Kluyveromyces lactis: one gene and its partner. The protein of the gene in region 1 purifies or fractionates together with the protein of each later gene. This does not show direct contact. Links are inferred from orthologs where the notes say so. Each region holds a gene or a part of one and is shown in the gene's direction. Other genes may lie near its edges.

Region 1 (4,110 bases):
CTGTTAAATTGGTCCTTTGACTTCACTTGTTGTAGATGAACAGACGTCTTGTCTTGGAACCTGGAAAAGTCATCAAAGCTTTATATTCGCTGTCACACGAGTTGTTATTCTTCTTGGAATAACTAAACAACAGACTGCTTCGATATCTGTATTCCCTATCAAACACTTCGTAAGTACTTCCTCCAAATATCTCTCTCTCGGGATCTAAGTCTGAGTATGGGTTAACATTTTTATCCTCTTTTAAACTCTGTTTAGGAGCACTACCATCACTAACGATATCGAGTCTTTGTATATCTTCACAGATACCTCTTGTCGGATCATTACTTCCTTGCGGAGACTCAGTGACGCTGCCATGTAGGTGATCCTGGTTGTCGCAGTCACAGTCACGTGTAATTAATTCAAAACCTTCGGTATCAGATGAATCCATAGTGTTTACTAGCTATATATAGCTAGTGTGTTGATGCACCTGGCGATCTGTCATGACTGTGTTGATGGTCTTTCCCCAGATCTATGGCCTCTTTATATAATAACTCAGATTGGTTAATGATGTTTCATGTTGATACTTGACCGTCTATTGTTTCTAATCCGTCTCAACAGATAACCCGCCGAATGATCTAAAAAATCTGTAAAATTTGTAATAGATTTCGTGCCTCCTTAGCTTAGTGGTAGAGCGTTGCACTTGTAATGCAAAGGTCGCTAGTTCAATTCTGGCAGGTGGCATTCATCTTTTTCAATATCCAATCTGACCTTCCTCGAATCTATTTTTTTTTTCTTAAAGTAACATTGTGCACTAAAACTAGCAATACGGTACGTCTAAAACCATGTATTCCCTATATTACTACATATCGGGATAGTACCAGTTCCAGCACTTGAGTTGGACTTGGCTTTAGTCCAGTATGACTCTATGTATCTGACTATCTAACTGATTATTCAGAGAGACTGAGATTGGACACGTCGTATAAAGTGACAGACGCATCAAAATCCTTCACATCGAATTTTGGAAAAATTTGCCAGGCGATGAGCTTTAAAGGTTTAAAGAATTCGCATTTACATAGAATGAACGTACCCATAGGCAGGTTTATCACAGTGATTTTGTTTGGATTTCCCTCGTATTAGTTTGCTAGATATTAAAAGGGTAATTCTCTTCTGTTTTGGCTAGGGGAAATTGAAACCCTAGGACTCGGGCACTGGCTATCATTCTGTATTATAATCAATCCAGAGGCGCAAACGGTCAGGAACTAGTGAATTAAGTGGATATTTAGTGAACTATGGCCTCTGTGAAACGTGTAGCACCAGATGGTGAGAAGTCCAGGAATGGTAGTTTCACCAAGAAGGCGCTTGTAAAAGCTATTACTGGCTCACAGGCTGAAAATGACAGTGACAAGACTGGTTCTTCTTCTTCTGGAGAAGAAGAAGAAGAAAGAGAGGAAGAGGCTACTGCCTCTTCCAGCGGGGAAGAAGACGAGGAAGAGGAAAACACACATGACCATAAGGCTAAGAAGCCAAAGTTGAGCTCCCAGGATATACAAATAGCGAGAGAAACGGCTGAACTCTTCAAATCGAACATTTTCAAATTACAAATCGATGAGTTATTGGAACAAGTGAAGTTGAAGGACTCACACATCGTAAGGGTGGAGAAGTTTTTGCATAAACTATATGATATGATACAGGAAGTACCGGAATGGACTCCGCAAAGCTTAGAAGATGTAGAGAAATATTTCCATGGGAAAGTGGTATCAGTTCCGTTTGTGGATCCAAAACCACAAGCGAAGAACACACAGTACAAATTCAATTATTTAAAGCCGGACGTGAGTTTAATTGGATCATTCGGGTTGAAGACTGCCATCTACCAACCTCAGGGCTCCGCAGTAGACGTTTTGTTGACTATGCCTGAGCAGTTGTTCGAAAAGAAAGATTTCTTGAATTTTAGATGTTTCCACAAGCGTTCAGTATACCTCGCGTATTTGACTCATCATATCTCACTCGTCCTGAAAAGAAGCCAGCTGGATTTCTTACACTTGGAATATTCATACTTTAACAACGATCCTTTACAAACGGTATTAAAGATAAGTTGTAAGGAGAAAACTTCATCGGACTATAATTTCTACAAGACTAAATTCAGCATAAACTTGATCGTGGGGTTCCCATACAATTTCTTCGAATCAAAGAAGTTGCTACCCAATAAGAACTGTATCAGAGTCGGTCAGGATAACGAAACTCCGACACCTTTCTACAATTTCTCGGTATTATCATCTTCTTGTCACGAACACTATTTGAAGTACTTACACAAATCAAAGAAACAAACAGAACAGTTTAAACAGGCTTGTATTTTGGGGAAGCTATGGTTATCTCAGAGAGGCTTCTCATCAAATATGTCTCATTCAGATGCGTTGGGTGGTTTTGGAAATTTCGAGTTTGCCACGTTGATGGCAGCCCTACTAAATGGTGGTGGGTTGAATGGTAACAGAATTTTATTGCATGGGTTCTCATCTTACCAATTATTCAAAGGTGTAATCAAATATTTGGCCACAATGGATCTTTGTACTGATGGGTACTTACAATTCTATTCCGACTATAGCACTACTGCAACTGTCACTTCCTCAAAATACGTTGAAGAAGGTTTCCAAACACCTACAATCTTTGATAAAACCACCAAAGTTAACATACTGAGTAAAATGTCTGTTAACAGCTATCAAATGCTAAAGATCTACGCGCAAGAAAGTTTATTGATGTTGAATGACGTCGTCAGAGATCAGTTCGAAAACATGTTCTTAACTAACTTAAACAAGATCAAGACAGTGAAATATGATGCTTACTATGATTTAGATATCCCATCCATCAATTTACTACTGTCCAAGTTCGGTCCCGTTGAAAAGATTAGCTTTATATCATTCGAAAATTTCATCTGCAATAAAGTATCGAACATCGTGAAGATTGCCCTTGAGGATAGAATCAAAGCTTTTGAAGTGGCTCTAGTTAACAATAGATCTACTTTCCCAGTAACAAAGAGAAAAGTTGCTGCTGTTCCAAATTTCACTTCAATCCAAATTAAACTGTTGATCAACCCTGCAGAATGTGAGAAGCTTGTGACTAAGGGCCCAGAGAACACAGAAGAATTAACTAATGAAGCTAATGAATTCAAGATTTTTTGGGGTAAAAAAGCATCTCTTCGTAGATTCAAGGACGGTTCCATTGCAAACTGCTGTGTCTGGTCAACTTCTGCTATTGAAAGTGTTGTTTCTTCGATTTTGTCCTATGTTCTAAGGCTACATTTGACTGAAGACTGCAAACTCATCAATAATTCCACTAGCCAATTCCAACAGTTGTTACCACTACCGAACCTACCTGCATCTTCAAAGACATCAGTTCTAAACCTATCAAGCTACTATAACTTGAAGAAGTCCTTTGACGATTTGTATAAAATCATGTTCGAGCTAAAACTCCCATTATCAATTAAATCTCTTTTACCTATTGGTTCTGCATTCAGGTACACATCATTATGTCAGCCTGTCCCATACGCATATTCTAATCCTGATTTCTTACAAGACGTTGTTATCGAATTCGAAACGTCTACAAAATGGCCTGACGAAATTACTTCGTTGGAAAAGGCTAAAGCTGCATTTTTATTGAAGATTCAAGAATCCATCACGCAGACTCATAGTGAGTACAAGTGCTACTTTACACGTGATGAATCGATTCCATACAACTTGGAAATAGTTACTCTAAACATTTTGACTCCAGAAGGATACGGTTTCAAGTTTAGAGTTCTAACTGAGAGAGACGAAGTTATGTATTTGAGAGCAATTAACAACGCAAGAAAAGAACTAAGACCAGAGCTGGAAAAGACATTCTTGAAATTTACTGCCAAGTACCAAGCTGCTATTAGACATACTAGAACTTTGGAAAACATTTCCCATAGTTACCCATTCTACTCTCCAGTGGTAAGACTATTTAAGAAATGGCTAGATTCTCATCTCTTATATGGCCATTTGTCAGAAGAATTGATTGAGCTTATTGCCATTAAGCCATTTGTAGAGCCACGTCCATTCACCATGCCAGGTTCCGTTGAAAATGGTTTCTTGAAGATCTTATTATTCCTCGCAAACTGGA
Region 2 (4,348 bases), on another chromosome or scaffold:
CAACTTCCAAGGTGTCATCGTCCACCATTCTCCAGTTGGGTTCTTGAACAGTTGAAACAATAACTCCACGTTCGGCAAGCATAGATTTCAGTTCATCATCAATTTTGGGACCACCATCTCTTGTAATTTCCAATCTAGGAGGGGTAGGTACGTTGCTTGCCGCCAGCAACCTGAGACACAACCTTCTATCCCACAATACTTTTTGCATAATCAAATCATTAATGATATATGGTTTTCTTAACTTGACATATTTGATAGCCTTTTCTAGAGGGAACCCATTGGAAAAGAATGATATTAGAAAGTCGCAAGTAGGCCAGTTTTCAATGCTTTCATCCAATATAACTTTATCGCCAAAAATTATAGTCTCAAACTCACCGTGTTCAATTAGTCTGTTTAAGATATGTCTGCATGGCTTGGATAACACTTTCGCATCCATGGCACAAACACCAATTTTACCAATCTTTGGTAGCTGAGGCTTGGACGAGGAAGTTGAAGCTTTCCTCGAAGAATTTGTCGAACTTGGAGTTGTTGATCCGTCAGTGTTGGTTGTGACAGCTTCATTAGAGACTAATGCTTGCGGAATGAAGGGGAATGCATGAGGTTCTTCCAGCATAGGAGATGGACTAGGCGATCCTTCCAGAATAGCAGAAACTGATGCTGATCCACTTTGGTTACTTTTCAGTCTTTGAAGCTTGTTACCATTCATGCTATCGAATGAGGTGCCTAGGACACTGGGAGTCATATGACGACCTGTCGAACCAGTAGAAGAAATACTAAGCGTTCTGACGAGCTTATTTGTCTCATCATCATCATCAGAGGTAAAACCAGCAGGTGGCAACTTCAACGACTTATTCTCACTAGAAGAGGTCTTCGGCGTGAACCCTTCAAGGATAGGAGCGATCGATTCCATAGCCTTTTTCGTATTCGAATCTAAAAACAGTGGAGGCATGGTATTTCCGTTGATTGCCTCTTGACCCTCATCAGAAATTGAACCTGGAGAAGACATGACTGGCAGTTCTGCAATTTGATTATAACCAATGCTGAAACTTCAGTTAAAATTATTTTGTAGATCGTTGCAATTAATCGATTTCTGTTATAAGCGGATGCATGGTACGATTATTCCCCATGTGTTTAATTTTGTATATAAATTTATATGTGAAGGATAATAGTGAAAACTTGATAGAAAACTGTGAGTAATTCTGAAGTAAAGACCAGTATCTAAGCAACACCTCCATGTGTTTCGCTAGTGAGATTTCAGACTGTGGTATGGTTACTATCTAATGGCATCTAATGGTGAAGTTACATAGTATCTTCTCTATCCAAGTCTAAGAATCACATTTGCAGGTTGATCCCCCTTATGTGTCACGTGATATTCTGATTTCTTTTTCTGTTTCAGCGATGAAAATTTCGAAGCTCGACGTTTTAAAGAAGCGATGAGATGAGATGAGATGAGATAGATACCTATCGTCAGCAGCTAATTACTGGATTCGCTTGTTGTTCAGTTAATTAAGCGATTGCATAAAGTCACAGAACAGTGCATTAGCAATCATGACAGTGGATGGATCGTTAAAGAAACGAAGAGTTGGTTCTTCCGGCGCTGTTAGGAAACATGCTTCCAGAATATTTTCTCCGTATAGAATTGTAGGTAATGTATCTACTGGAGTTCCTTATGCGATTGGTACCCTAGGTACGACCTTCTACATTGTGACTTCTGTTGGTAAGTCGTTTCAGATCTTTGATGCCAATAATTTGCATCTGCTATTCGTTTCAGATAAGGAGACAGAGGGAGACATTACTTGTTTGGCAGCGCATTTTCATTACGTTTATGCAAGTTTTAAGAATAAAGTTGGGATCTATAAGAGAGGTAAGCTAGAACATTTGATTGAATTACCTGATCCAAATACCGTGGTGACCAAAATTAACGTTTTCGGTGAATATTTGATTGCTTCTACAGATAATAATGTTGTTTATATCTATAAGAAAAATTCCCCATCTGATAAATTCGCTACTGAATTATACACCAATTTCACCATTGGTAAGTTACAAGGTGGTGATATTGTTGATTTGGTGCATTTACCAACATATGTTAACAAGTTGCTCGTTGTGACTAAGTCTAATTTCACCTTGTTTAACGTTCGGACCGGAAAACAATTGTACACTTCCGATGAGTTCCCCGATGAGATCACCACTGCTGAACCTGCACCTGCTTTAGACATCGTTGCCTTTGGTACATCATCTGGTGAAGTTATTTTATTCAATTTGCGTAAGGGTAAGAAAATCAGAACCATTAAAACGCCGACGAGAATTTCTTCAATCTCTTTCAGAACGGATGGTGCTTCTCATATCTCAGTAGCATCAACCAGTGGTGATTTGATCTTTTATGACTTAGATCATCGCTCACGTGTTCAAGTGTTAAAAGGCATTCACAAGGAAGTGAATGGTGGTGTTGCAAGAGCATCATTCTTGAACGGTCAGCCGATCGTTGTCACTTGTGGTGGTGACAACCAGTTAAAAGAGTTTGTTTTCGATCCATCCTTATCGCAAGGTGACTCTGAAGTGGTCATTCAACCAGCCAGATTATTAAGGTCAAGAGGTGGTCACTCTCAACCTCCATCCTCTATTGCATTTGCTGACGATCAATCTCATTTCATTCTTTCTGCTTCAAAAGATAGATCTTTATGGGGGTTTTCCTTAAGAAAAGATGCACAATCGCAGGAATTATCGCAGCGTCTGCATAAGAATAAAGATGGAAATAGGATTGGTGGAAGCACCATTGGTGAGAAGTTCCCTGAGATTACATCAATAGTCATCGAAAATAACAGACAAGGCCAATGGGAAAACATCTTGACGGTTCATAAAGGGGAAAAGTTTGCAAGAACATGGAACTCGAGAACAAAAAGAGTTGGTAGGTGGACAATCCCAACTAATGATGAGGGGTTTGCGAAGAGCGTAGCTATATCACAATGTGGTAACTTTGGTTTAGTTGGCTCTTCAAACGGTGGTATTAGTGTTCACAACTTACAAAGTGGACAGAAGAGAAAGGTTTATCGTTTACATAAGAAGGCAGTTACTGGTATTGCAATGGATGGTATGAACAGAAAGATGGTGTCATGTGGGTTAGATGGTATTGTCGGATTTTATGACTTTTCCAAAAGCACTTTTTTGGGAAAGTTAAAGTTGGATTCACCTATAACATCAATGGTATACCATCGATCATCTGACCTCTTCGCATTAGCATTAGATGACCTTTCCATTGTTGTCGTAGATTCGGTTACTCAAAAAGTGGTCCGTCAACTCTGGGGGCATTCCAATAGAATTTCATCATTTGACTTCTCACCTGATGGACGTTGGATCGTTTCTTCGTCATTAGATTCCACAATTAGAACCTGGGATTTACCAACAGGTGGATGTATAGACGGTATGAAAGTGGAAAATGTCATCACTAACATTAAATTCTCACCAAATGGTGACTTATTGGCTACCACTAGTGTATCTGGTAATGGTATTTCCCTCTGGGCTAATAGAGCTCAGTTCATTTCAGTATCAACCAGACAGATCGACGAAGAAGAATTTGCCACTGTTATGCTTCCAAACGTTTCCGGAGATGGTGGTTCCAACTTTTTGGAAGGGGCTTTTGATACAGAGGAAGATGATTCCGAAGATCTCTTTGGTAAATATGACTCGATGGAGCAAATTGATAAAGATTTATTGACTCTTTCTTTGGGACCAAGGAACAAGATGAATATCTTACTCAATCTCGATATAATTAAACAACGTTCGAAACCAAAGGAGGCTCCAGTTAAACCAGAGCAGGCTCCATTCTTCTTACAACTTGCAAAAGATAAGGTGGGCGATGAGGCTTCAGCCAGGGAAGGCGCTGAGAATTTGAGTTTGGATTCCTCTAAACTACAACAGGAGCGAAATGCTGCCAAAGCTAATGCTGCTAGTGAACTGAATAAATTCAAACCTTCAGGAAAACTTGGTGCTCAGTTCGAATCTGATTTCACTAAGCTACTTAGAGAAGGTTCGCAGAAAAACGATTATTCAGCATTCCTTGACGAATTAGTCCAGATGACTCCCTCAAATATTGATTTGGAGATTCGTTCTTTGAAAGCTTTTCAACCATTTGATGAGCTATGTCGGTTCATTGAAAGTTTGGCTCAAGGTTTGGCTACCAACAAGAACTTTGAGTTATATGAGGCATATATTACCATCTTATTCAGAGTGCATGGTGATGTAATTCATTCTAATAACACAAATCAAAATATCAAGACTGCTCTGCAACATTGGGATACCAATCACCGCAAGGGCCAATCATTGGATGAATTGGTAAAATTCTGCGGCAGCG

Evidence for each region.
Region 2: the proteins of UTP22 (region 1) and UTP21 purify together in Saccharomyces cerevisiae (affinity purification with mass spectrometry; 5 studies listed by BioGRID). This does not show direct contact. The link is inferred for Kluyveromyces lactis from reciprocal best matches to the Saccharomyces cerevisiae genes UTP22 and UTP21.

The regions. Positions count from the first base shown.
Region 1 is NC_006040.1:1,246,723-1,250,832, forward strand, and holds the start of UTP22 (rRNA-processing protein UTP22), read left to right. Parts: upstream 1-1,268; coding exon 1,269-4,110. Other genes in the region: KLLA0_D14762g (uncharacterized protein), read right to left, coding at 23-427. UniProt on the Saccharomyces cerevisiae protein: Involved in nucleolar processing of pre-18S ribosomal RNA and ribosome assembly.
Region 2 is NC_006038.1:252,899-257,246, forward strand, and holds the start of UTP21 (rRNA-processing protein UTP21), read left to right. Parts: upstream 1-1,548; coding exon 1,549-4,348. Other genes in the region: inositol polyphosphate kinase VIP1, read right to left, coding at 1-1,006. UniProt on the Saccharomyces cerevisiae protein: Involved in nucleolar processing of pre-18S ribosomal RNA and ribosome assembly.